Linked DNA regions of Mus musculus. The protein of the gene in region 2 interacts with the protein of the main gene of each other region in a pairwise test. Links are inferred from orthologs where the notes say so. Each region holds a gene or a part of one and is shown on either strand. Other genes may lie near its edges. The genes, in order: Bysl, Golga2 and Tle5.

Region 1 (3,648 bases), on a different chromosome or scaffold from region 2:
ATTTTAGTGTACGGGAAGCTGGAAGCGAGCAATGTATAATTCCCCTGGACGCTGACAAATCTCGATCCCGCTGGGATGCACAGCCTCAGTTCCCCTCTATGTCCATTTAGCCGCCTCAAAGTGCTGCAGAGCACGGGCCCTGGATGTCTCTGCATCTGACGCAGAGCCAGAGTGGTGGGGACGTTAGGCCCTTAGGCCCTGAAGTCAGCTCCGGCTCTTCTGGTCCTTGTATGATCCTGGGCCCGTCACTTGACTCCTCTAAGCCTCAGTTTCCTCATCTGTAAACTGGGGAAGTAAAAGGACCCCCCTGGACAGTCAGCTGAAGGGTAAAATCTAAGACTGCAGCAGGCCCGACTCTCAGCCAGAGCCAGCAGGTCCTGAGGGCTGTTTACTTCAAGCTCACCTCCCACTGCTCACACAACGGGGAGCAACTTCTGAGTGCAGAGTGGAGCTCTGTGCCAGGCAGCGCTGGTGCACACCTTTCATCCCAGCGCTCAGAAGGCAGCGGCAGGCAGAGTTTTGTGAGTTCAAGGCCAGCCTATCCTACTCACCCAGCACTTGCCTAGCAAGGATGAGACCTGGGTTCTGGCTTCCAGCACAAGGGGAAAAAGTTTCTCTGCAGTCTTTTTCTGTGCCGAGCAGCACTGAATCTGACACTTTCCAGACTTGTGTCCTGTGGTCTGCATGACACTGGTGGCAGGTGCTTTTATTCCCCCGCACTGCCCAGGCCGGGGAATCGAGACTCAGGGCCAACCAACAACTCTCCTAAGCCCTAAGACTTTCTCAGGGAAAGGGTAAATTTTAGTCTTTCGACTTCTAGTTTGGGTGCTTCGCAGCGTCTTCAATGTGCCTTAAGTGACAAGGCCTGATTGCTGTGTTCCCAAAGACCCTTAGCCTGGTTTCTGAAGATGCCAGCAGCCACTGCTCAAGAGTGCCCACGGTCCCCCTTTCCACCATGTTGTCACTTCCGTATAGCAACTGCAGAAAACATTCTGCTAAGTTTGTCAGATCAAGAGCCACTGGGTATGAGGTGCTGCCCGAGAGCCTTTGGGGGGCACATCACACCCCATGACCATTCTCAGAGCTGTCAGACACCTTCAGGGGACAGGGTTCTCCTGTGTTCTCTGAACCCAAGCTGCTCATCACCGTACTATTAATGATAGTGGTGTACTACACCCCACTCTGAAGAATAAACTGGTTGAGCCCCTTTGCCCTAAGCCCAGTCCTCTCAATGAGGCCAGATCCATCTGAATGGAACCAAGAATCTGACCACAGGCAGCCTAAATAACTGCATGTTTAGAAGTAGCATTTATAACACATGGGGGTACGTTTGTGGTTCTACCCAGAGGTAGTTTTAACCCCTCTGGGAACATTTTGTCAGAGATAGCTGCTATTGGCCCCAACACTGTAACTGAGATGGAAAACCCTGAGTTAAAGACTAAGCTATGGGCTGGCGAGATGGCTCAGCAGGTAAGAGCACTGACTGCTCTTCCGAAGATGCTGGGTTCAAATCCCAGCAGCCACATGGTGGCTCACACCCACCCGTAATGAGATTTGGTGCCCTCTTCTGGTGCGTCTGAAGCCAGCTACAGTGTACTTATGTATAGTAAATAAATCTTTGGGCCAGAGCGAGTGGGGTTGGCCAGAATGAGTAGAAGTCCTAAAATTCAATTCCCAACAACCATATGATGGCTCATAACCATTTGTACAGCTACAGTGTACTCACATACATAAATAAATTAATCTTAAAAAAAAATAAGACTAAGCTATGAGAGTAACGTACCAAGAATAAACACTACTAAACGGATCCCCAGCTATCACAAGGAACCGGTAATCCAGAGGTTCCAGATCAGATGGGCAAAGGGGAATCCGGGTCACTCCCGTTCAGGGGCCACTCTTGGCAATGGTCAGACCAACAGCTGTGGTCTGGATGAACTTTCTACCAGGACCCACTGGTCCAACCTTTAAGCCTTACCTCACGGGAGGATTCTTGTTCATGAACATTTCAATGGCACGCTCATCTTCAGGGTCCACGATCACCTCTGCCTGGTGGTCCACCCCGGCCATTTTGGCTGCCTTCTCCAGGGTAGGCCACTCCTCATCCTCCTCATCTGATCCATCCTGTGGCAATCCCGGCCCTACAAGATAATCCCAGCCGCAGGGGCTTGTGAGTCAGTTCCCCATTCCACGTACAGCACACCCAGGGAGCAGGAGGGACACCTGCAGAGGGACTATCCTTTTGTCCCCAGAGACTTGGAATCTTGATAGAAAATACAGCACACGAAGCGAGAGATGATAAGGCCAGTAAAGACTGGATGACATGTCCCCTCAGTGAATGGATGACATGTCCCCCCTCAATGACCAAGAAGGATCCATTCTATACTACACACATGTAACCTGGTCTGTCCAGATGACCTCAAGGAATAGGTACTGTTGCTATACCCAGTTCAAACCGGGGCAGAAGAGTTGATGTGCCCACAGTAGGTAGGCACTGTGGGTCCTGACTTCCCACTATGTTGCTTGCACAGTGGAACTGCATCATGTGCTGAAACTAAAACCATGGTGGAGGCAGTGTGCACCTCAGGCACTTGGATGAGTACAGAGGCTGAGGAGGCTCTGGATGGGCAGTCTGGGAGCAAGAGCATGCTCCACGTCCTGGAAAGTAATGCTGTTAGAGTGTTGGGCACTAAGGAGCCAGAAAGGAAACGGAAAGCCAACCTGGAAGGCTCTAAGGCTGGGCAGTGGCATTCGGACTCTGATCAACCAACACATTTAAGTTACTGGCTTAGGTAGTCGAGGATGACTTGGGAGTTCCTTGTTCTCGCGCCTCCACTTTCCAAACACGCACCACAGTGCTGAAGGCTGAGCTTCTGATGTTGGGTTAATCCCGTGTGTTCCATGTAAAGGCTGCCTGTGTACTATTCACATGTTAATCTTTGTTCCAGCAGAGAGCTGAGTACAGTCGGCATTGGTTTTTTTTTTTAATGAAGCATCACCTGTCTCAGTGTTGTGGAAACTTCTTCTCCATCACCTTCTGATTGGTTTAATCAAAAGCTGAGTGGCCCATAGCAGGGCTGGAAAGGATAGGCGGGACTTCTGGGCAGAGATAGGAACTCTGGGAAAGAAATCAGATGTGAGGGGACTCAACAGCCAGACACAGAGGAAGAAACACGTGCTGTTACTGAAGAGCAGTAACGAGCCCCGTGGTTGAATGTAGACTAGTATAAAGCAATTATGTTGTATCAGCGAGTTCGGAACAAGGCAGCTAAGGCCAAGCTTTCATAACTAATAAGAGGTCTCTGTGTCCTCACTTGGGTGATAGGTGGGTTGAGCCATTCCTGCCACATCCTGAGGTCCTGACCATGGAGTCTTGGCTGGGTACTTCCTGAGTGCTGGGATTAAAGTCATGTGCCAATACACCGGGCTGACTTTTGAAATACCGCACATAGCTGGCAAGGCAGTTGGGAAAGAGTCTAATAAACCAAAGTAGTTGAATTATTACCATAGCAACAGATCAGTTGCTATGGAAGTGGACTAAGGGTATATTATATAGAGCTCCAGAGAGTACACAGAGCATACCCAGTGAGAGCCAAGGTTGTTTGTTTTAGGTTTATTTTACTTTTAATGTTTGAGTGCTGACTGCACGTA
Region 2 (3,648 bases):
TCTCAGGAGATATTAATCTCCTTTACTCCTGGAGTAGAAAATCAGTTACTAATTCTAGAAAGTTTTCAAAAACACAAGGAAAGTCTTCACTTCTGGACGGGGGGTGGGGGGTGGGGTGCTCTGGTGAGTATTTCCTGAAGGGGAAACCAGAGCCCGGGCTGTGTGAATCCATAGCACAACAAACACCAAATATGTGTCCCCCATTCCCATACACACAATGTGCCATTTCTGAGCTGAGTACTGAGGCCCAGCACCTGAGCAGACTGCAGCACCTGCCCAGCATCAGCTCTGTTAGCGGAAAAGAGCCAACGCCAGTCTGCGAGTCCCCAGAATAACAGGACATGGCCTTGGCTCAGACCACTCCTTCAGTTGGACAGAAGCCTGCTCCTTTTGTTTGGCACATGTCCCCTGGCACATGTAAACTGAAGTACTAAGTTATGTCCAGGAGGCCAACTCTCAGCCCTGCGACACAGGTCCTGTTGCACTTGGATGCTCCGTGTCTGAACTGTGCCTGCCTGTCAGCTCATCTTTCACCATCGAAGCAGCTACAAATGTCCCTTCCCCAGCCTCGAGTCCACTGGGAACCAGCGCTCCTGTCCCTATGTGAGGCATCCTGGAGGTCACGTGACTCTTGTCCTGTGCATCTAGTCTGCTATTGGCTTGAGACTGGCTCTCGAGATGCAGCCCAGGCTGGCTTGGGCTTGCCGTCCTCTTGCCTCAGTCTCTGGAGCGCTGGGCTCACAGGCATGGACTACTGCGCCTGGCTTGCTCATCTGTTTTGTCACTGTTTAGCAAAGTGCCTTTCCTATCAAGAATTCAGTCCACTGAGTTTTCAGAGAGACTGAGGGCAGCTTCTCCTGGTCACTCATTTGTTAGTTAAGTTTACATTTTTCGCAGTTAGTTTCTCTTCATTTTTTTTTTATTCAAGACAGGGTTTCTCTGTGTAGCTCTAGTTGTCCTTGAACTCACTTTGTAGACCAGGCATGGCCACTTCCTCCTAGACTCAGAGATCTGCCTGTCTCTATGCCTTCAGAGTATTGAGAATAGAGGCATGTGCCACCACTGCCTGTTGAGGGTTTCTTAGAAAAAAAAAGTCTTAATCCCAGAAACTATACAATAAATTCACTTTCTCATAACCTTATGTTCCTAAGTTTCAAACTAAAATGAGTTCATAAAAAAGAACCACAAATTTCTATGGTCTAGTTTTTTAGAGACAGATGCCCAGAGGACAAGACCTGAAAGGTGTTTTTGTGTTCCATCTGTCCCAGTCTGACAGTACCATGCTAGGCAGTCATAAACTCTAGTCTCATTCATAAACATCCGATCTGAAAGTTGTTTCCCCAGTTAGCTTTAACTTTCAAGGTGGGTCTCATCTTCTCTAAGATGAGAAATGATACAGGGAAAGAAAAGAACCCAATCAAGCAAGCAGTTGACAAAGCAGACACAGGAGCTGATGGTTAACTGAGGCAACACAAAGTGAGCCAGTGGCAGAGGGTCCCCAAAGCAGGGAGGCCTCTGTGGCATGCATGGCTGGGAGAGCAAGCCAGAGGGAGTCTCGCTCAGTACTGCCTCACCTTCCTCTTGTCTAATGGGGGGAGTGAGACCCCATTGGAACGGTTAAGGTCGGACACCAGCACCTTCAGAATGTCCTTAATCTACAGCAGGCAAGAAGGGAAAAAGGGGGGAGGAGGGAGGAGGGATGAGAGAGAGAGAGAGAGAGAGAGAGAGAGAGGGAGGGAGGGAGGGAGGGAAGGAGGGAGGGAGGGAGGAGGGGGGCAGGGAGGGGTGGGGAAGTAAGAAAGTCAGGGCAGGAAGAAGAGAAACAGTCAGGGAGATGGAACACTCAGGAGCACAGATCAATACCCAGGCCTGTGCCATCCTTCCAAGCAGCCACCTGCTGCCTTGTCAGAGGCAGCCCTCAGAGTAAGCAAGAGTCCCCAAGGGATGGAGTCAATACACCTGACCAATGCAGCAACTCAACATACACAAGACCCTTTCCACACACCCAGGATTACAGGGAGCAATCTGCAAAGGCCCCAGTCCCCAAGGCCACCTTAAAACCTGACTCTCAAATAAGACTTCACTTTTACACAGCTACAGTACAGCTAAAAAGAGAGTCTGTAAGACAATAAGCTAGTCCACCATCATCCTGTCAGATGAAGGAAGTGTGTGTGTGTGTGTGTGTGTGTGTGTGTGTGTGTGACTTTCCTGAGGTAACCCAGCAAGCTCACGACAATGATGGACTTAACACTCAAATCTCTTACAGATGGCTGCGTTTCAGAAGTATGAGAGCAATGATGTTCCCTCTGGTCTGATTTCTACCCCAAACCAAGAAAATCAAGCGGTACCTATTAGCTCACTGTTAACTCCACAGCAGACCCTCCACTAGGGGAATTAATAGAAAAACAACCGCAATAAACTTCACTTAATCTTTATAGATACACATTAAAAATATTACCGCTATTGTACAGCTATGTAAAAAGAGGCTCAGAGAGTTTAACCAACTTGCCCTAAAGTTATCATATTGCCAACTGATGGAGAGATAGAATTCAGACTCAGATTTAATTTTTCCTGTGCTGAGATAAAACCCAGGGCCATTGTGAGATGAGCCCTAGTTCATTACCATTGAACTAGGCAACAAGCCCTCAAAGCCAGACTTTTTAACCAGCACCTGACATTTCCACTTGAACCACAGCCCTCCCCGCTTCTTCCCACCTGCCCCCATTCCACAGGACTCTGTTGGCCAAGACTCACATTCTCTGGTGACTGACAGTCACTGGCAGTGGGTCTCTCTGGGCTATGGCCATTTTTAATCTTTTTCTTCTTCTTTGCTCCTGCAGGAACACCCGGGCTGTTCTTCTGCTGATACTCTCTCAGCTGTGGAAAGGAGAACAGAGAGAAATGAGAGCCATCTGCCTCACACTCACAGCCTCTACTCCAGCCTCTAGTTTATTGAGCTCTTTGCTTCGTGTTTCTGTATGTGCCATCTGAGTCAGTCTCACGTATCCCAGGCTGGGCACTAACTCACTATGTGGATGACTATGAACATCTGATCTTCCTGCCTGAACTTCTAAACGCACCAGGAGCAGGTGCCACCATACTTGGTTTCTACAGTCCTGGAAATCAGGCCTAGGCCCTTGTGCAAATTAGATTACAGAGTGGAATATTTCATGCCTGGTCTCTTTCTATGCTGTTTTTATAAAAATACTTTAAAAAAAATGTACATTGGTGTTTTGCCTGCATGTATTATCTGTGTGAGGGTGTCAGATCTTGGAGTTACAGGTAGTTTCAATCTGTCATGTAGGTGCTGAGAACCAAACCCAGGTCCTCTGGAAGAACACTTAGTGCTCTTATTTGATGAGCCATCTCTCCAGGGCCCGATAAAAATACTCTTATGTACGTAAGTCTCATGTAATGGTACCACGAGTCTACAAGATATAATAATGACCTCTTAATGGCAGAAGAAATGGCATGGCTAAAAAGGTAGTAATTGGGTTGGGAATGTAGCTCAGTGGAATACTTGGCTAGCATTCAAGAGGCCCTAAATTCCATTCCAGCAACATACACACATGCCCATACACATACACACAGAGGCAAACACGGAATCTAAACTCAAATCTTCTGATGCCCTGCTCTGGGGTTTGCAGC
Region 3 (3,748 bases), on a different chromosome or scaffold from region 2:
TCAAAATAAATACCAAAAACTCAAATATAACATTTTTTTTTAAATAGAAAACTCCACGAACACTCAGATTTACTTTTTTTTCTTAGAGAAATCTAAGGGTCTTTTAAAGGTTTTGTCATTGGCTGTGAGATGGCTCAGCGGTTAAGAGCACTGACTGCTCTTCCTCAGGTCCTGAGTTCAAATCCCAGCAACCACATGATGGCTCACAACTATCTACAATGGGATCCGATGCCCTCTTCTGGAGTGTCTGAGGACAGCTACAGTGTAGCTACTTACATATAAAAAAATAAAAAATAAAGGCATTATCATCATTATTATTAGTTTGTTTTCTGAGACAGAGGTTTGCTCTGTACCTCAGGCTAGCCCAGAACGACTCCATTCACCTGCCTGTGAGAGCTGGAAGGTTTTGCCTGTATCCCCAAGCCCACTCAAACCCAGCCTAGGTTAGATGGGGACCCGTGCTCAGCTTTAGCTTTTCCTGCGTCTGTGCTGTACACCCCGGAAGCTGCTGACACCCTGGGCTTCGGGGTGATCAGTTTCACACATGAGGAACCCATTAGAAATGAGAAAAGTATTTGTGGTGGGAGTGACCAGGCTGGAGGGTCTGTGGGACCCTACTCCAAAATTGGACAGAAGAAGGTAGGGCTGTGTGACCCTGAGCCGATTACTCACCCTCTCTGGGCACCCACTCTAGCCTGTGTTAAACATAGGGACTGGGCCTCTAGAACCATGAACGCTGTATGCCTTACTTTCTTCTTCCACACCATGGGGCTGATTGTTTTTGGACACATGGCCTCATGTAGCCCAGGCTGGCCAACTTGCTAAGTAGCTGAGGATGACCTTGAACTGCTGACCCTCTTGGCCCCACCTCCTGAGCCCTGAGATGACAGAGGCACCCCCCACCCGGCCTTCCTTCAAGCCACAGACAACTCTACAGACACATGGAGGTGCCCTGGTCCGGGCTCACCTGTGATACTGCGCTTGCAGCAGCTGGAACTCATCTTTGATGCGGTCACAGGAGTCGGAGGTGGTGAACTTGAGCTGCTGAGGGAGGTGGGAGGAGCCCTGCGGGGGCAGGAGGGTGAGCGGCGTCCTGCCCCGCCCATGCCCCACTTCCTGGGCTGCCAGGAAGGGGCTGTGAGGCCCCTAGGCAGTGGGGACACTTTTACACACTGGTCATTTGGGAGGGGCGGGCACCCATGGGGCGGGGTGCACCTCTGTCCTCCAGATGCTCCCAGAGGAATTCCCCAGAAAGCCCCTCTAAGTCAATCAGGGTGGCACAGGCCTCCCTTCAAAGCCGGCATGGAAGAGGCACCTAACTTACCACCCTACATTTCCTGGGAGTACCCCCATCACACCTGTTTCCTCACGGGTGTGCTCTTCAGGAAGGGACCCCCCCAAAGCTGCCCAGGCCCCAGCCAAAGCCACAGAGAAATCATGGCCTGGGAGTTAGGGAGAGCTGGAAGCTGGGGGGCTGGGGAGCGAGGGGGGTGGGATATGTACAGGGCCGGCATCTGAGGGCACTGGGTCAGGAGTTAGGGTGTAAGATCTCGGATCTGGGGAGCAAGGCTAGGGGCAGGGTGTGGGGAGCAAGGCCACTGGGAGCTGGTGTGGGAGACGACAGATGGGCTTGGACATGAGAGGGACGGAGCCTAGTGCTGGGGGGGCGGGGGGTGGGAAGACTGCGGGGTATCCGGCTCCGGACAAGGGAGCACTGGACATTATACGGGCACAGGGTCTCCCCAACCCTAGTGCTGAGGGTGCAGGATGGGGGCTGGGAGGAGGAAGGCCGCTGGGGTGCGGGGCCTGCAGCTGGAGGAGGGACGCGGAGCCAGGCTGGGGGTGGCGCTGGGCCCGGATGGTGACGCCAGGCCCGACAGGGCTGGAGAGAGAGACAGGGGGTGCGGGAACTGTATTGGGGGGTAGAGGGCACCAGACTTGGGGCCAGGGCAGATCTGAGGTGGAAAGAAGTGCAGGGCCGAGGTGATGGTGGGTGCAGGGCCTTGGACTTGGTGGCAGGCCAGTCTGAAGCTCTTAGAGAGCTGGGCCTGGGGGGGGGGGGGTGCACCGAGGTGGGGATGCAAGATCTAGGGCTGGAGGACATGCGCGTCTGGGGTGAGGGGATGATGGGCTTGTGACTGGGGTGCTGCAGCTCTGGGCCTGAGCCCCAGGTCAGGAAGACAGGCCGAATGCGGCTGCAGTGGGGTGCGGGCTGATCCGGAGCCCGGGGGTGGGGGGTGGGGGTGGAAGAAGACCTTGGAGTCGGGTTGGGCGAGGTGTGGGGGAGGCGGTGAGGGGACTCAGGGCAGGGATCAAAGTTCAGGGATCCGGGCTGAAGGATGCAGTGCTGGACTGGTGGGGTGCGTAGGGTCTGGGTTGTGGGGTGCAAGGACCTTGGGGAAGAGCCCAGGGCTGGGGGGACAGAACAGGCCTGTGGGAGCTGGGGAAGCGTAGGGAGCCCCTGGGACAGGCCCTGGGCGGGGAGAGAGACGGGATCCGACCTAGAAGGGGTGCAGTGAGATGAGCTGGGGTGCAGGGTGAGCGCCGGAGGTGCAGTGAGCTGAGCTGGGGGTGCAGGGAGAGCTCTGGGGTGCAGTGCGCGGGGTTCCCCTTACCGAGTGCCGGCTTTGCGGAAACATCATGTCAGTCGCGGGGGGCGCGGGCTGCGCCCCGGCTCGGGCGGCTCGGGGGGCGCCGGGCGGCCGCGCTTTGTCCCCGATCGACAGCTCCGGGGCCCCGCGTCCCGCCTCCTGCGCCGCCCGCCGCCCGCCCGCGCCGCCCGCGCTATTGTGTAATGGCGACGCGGTGCCGCCCGGGCTCCCGCTCCACCTGCCGCGCCCGGCACTGCGCAGGCCCGGACGCCCCACCCGTGACCTTGGCCCCGCGCGCCCCGCCCCCGCCACGGCCCGGAACCCCAGCTGGAGGCCTGCCTCAGTGCCCCCCGCCCCCAGTCCCAAGGCCACAGACTCGCAGCCTGGACACCCAGGCTTCACGGTGGATTTATGGAGTGCCTACAGTGTGCTATGTCCTCTTTGGAGTCGGGAGGGTTGGCACGGCTGGGGGCCACACTGGGCAGTAGAGTGACACCTGTCCCACAGAGGTAGGATGGGGGCCCAGTCCTGTAATCTAATGACTGGGGTGCAGAGGCAAGAGGATCAAGAGTTCTCGGCCAGCCTGGGTTACCAGAGAGCCTGTCTTAAAACAACAAAAAGTAAGACATGGTTTGTTCTGGGGTACAAGACCTATTACCAGTGCTGGGTAGGTTGAGGTAGGTGGAAGCCAGCCTGATCTACACAGTGAATACAGCCTGGGCTATAGGAGCCCTTATCTCAAAACATGAAAAAGTTAAATCGGGCCACAGGAGGTGGTGGTGGCCGACACCTTTAATCCAAGCACTCAGGGCAGAGGCAGGTGGATCTCTGATTTGAGACCAGCCTGGTCTACATAGAGACTTCTGGGACAACCAGGGCTACAAAGAGAGACCTGTCTCATAAATAAAAGGTAAGAGTTCCCCAGGTCCTAGTGTGATCCCAACACTTGGGAAGCTGAGGCAGGAGGATTATCGAAAATTCAGCATCAACCTGTGACCCAGCTTACTGAGGTGAGACCTGTCCAAAAACAAAACAAAACAAAACAAAAACAAATGATTAAAACAAATATGCTGGTGTGGTAACACAAGCCTTTAATCTAAGCCCTTGGGAGGCAGAGGCAGGCAGATCTCTGTAAATTCAAGCCCACCTTGTGAGTT

Evidence for each region.
Region 1: the proteins of Golga2 (region 2) and Bysl interact in binary tests that used the Homo sapiens proteins (3 or more experiments, as listed by UniProt). The two-hybrid records come from large-scale screens. The link is inferred for Mus musculus from reciprocal best matches to the Homo sapiens genes GOLGA2 and BYSL.
Region 3: the proteins of Golga2 (region 2) and Tle5 interact in binary tests that used the Homo sapiens proteins (3 or more experiments, as listed by UniProt). The two-hybrid records come from large-scale screens. The link is inferred for Mus musculus from reciprocal best matches to the Homo sapiens genes GOLGA2 and TLE5.

The regions. Positions count from the first base shown.
Region 1 is NC_000083.6:47,604,864-47,608,511, forward strand, and holds part of Bysl (bystin), read right to left. Parts: intron 2,139-3,648; coding exon 1,976-2,138; intron 1-1,975. UniProt on the Homo sapiens protein: Required for processing of 20S pre-rRNA precursor and biogenesis of 40S ribosomal subunits. May be required for trophinin-dependent regulation of cell adhesion during implantation of human embryos.
Region 2 is NC_000068.7:32,291,322-32,294,969, reverse strand, and holds part of Golga2 (golgin subfamily A member 2), read right to left. Parts: intron 2,878-3,648; coding exon 2,755-2,877; intron 1,656-2,754; coding exon of another isoform or gene 1,575-1,655; intron 1-1,574. UniProt on the Homo sapiens protein: Peripheral membrane component of the cis-Golgi stack that acts as a membrane skeleton that maintains the structure of the Golgi apparatus, and as a vesicle thether that facilitates vesicle fusion to the Golgi membrane.
Region 3 is NC_000076.6:81,558,536-81,562,283, reverse strand, and holds the start of Tle5 (TLE family member 5), read right to left. Parts: upstream 2,841-3,748; 5' UTR 2,643-2,840; coding exon 2,616-2,642; intron 1,066-2,615; coding exon 968-1,065; intron 1-967. UniProt on the Homo sapiens protein: Transcriptional corepressor. Acts as a dominant repressor towards other family members. Inhibits NF-kappa-B-regulated gene expression. May be required for the initiation and maintenance of the differentiated state.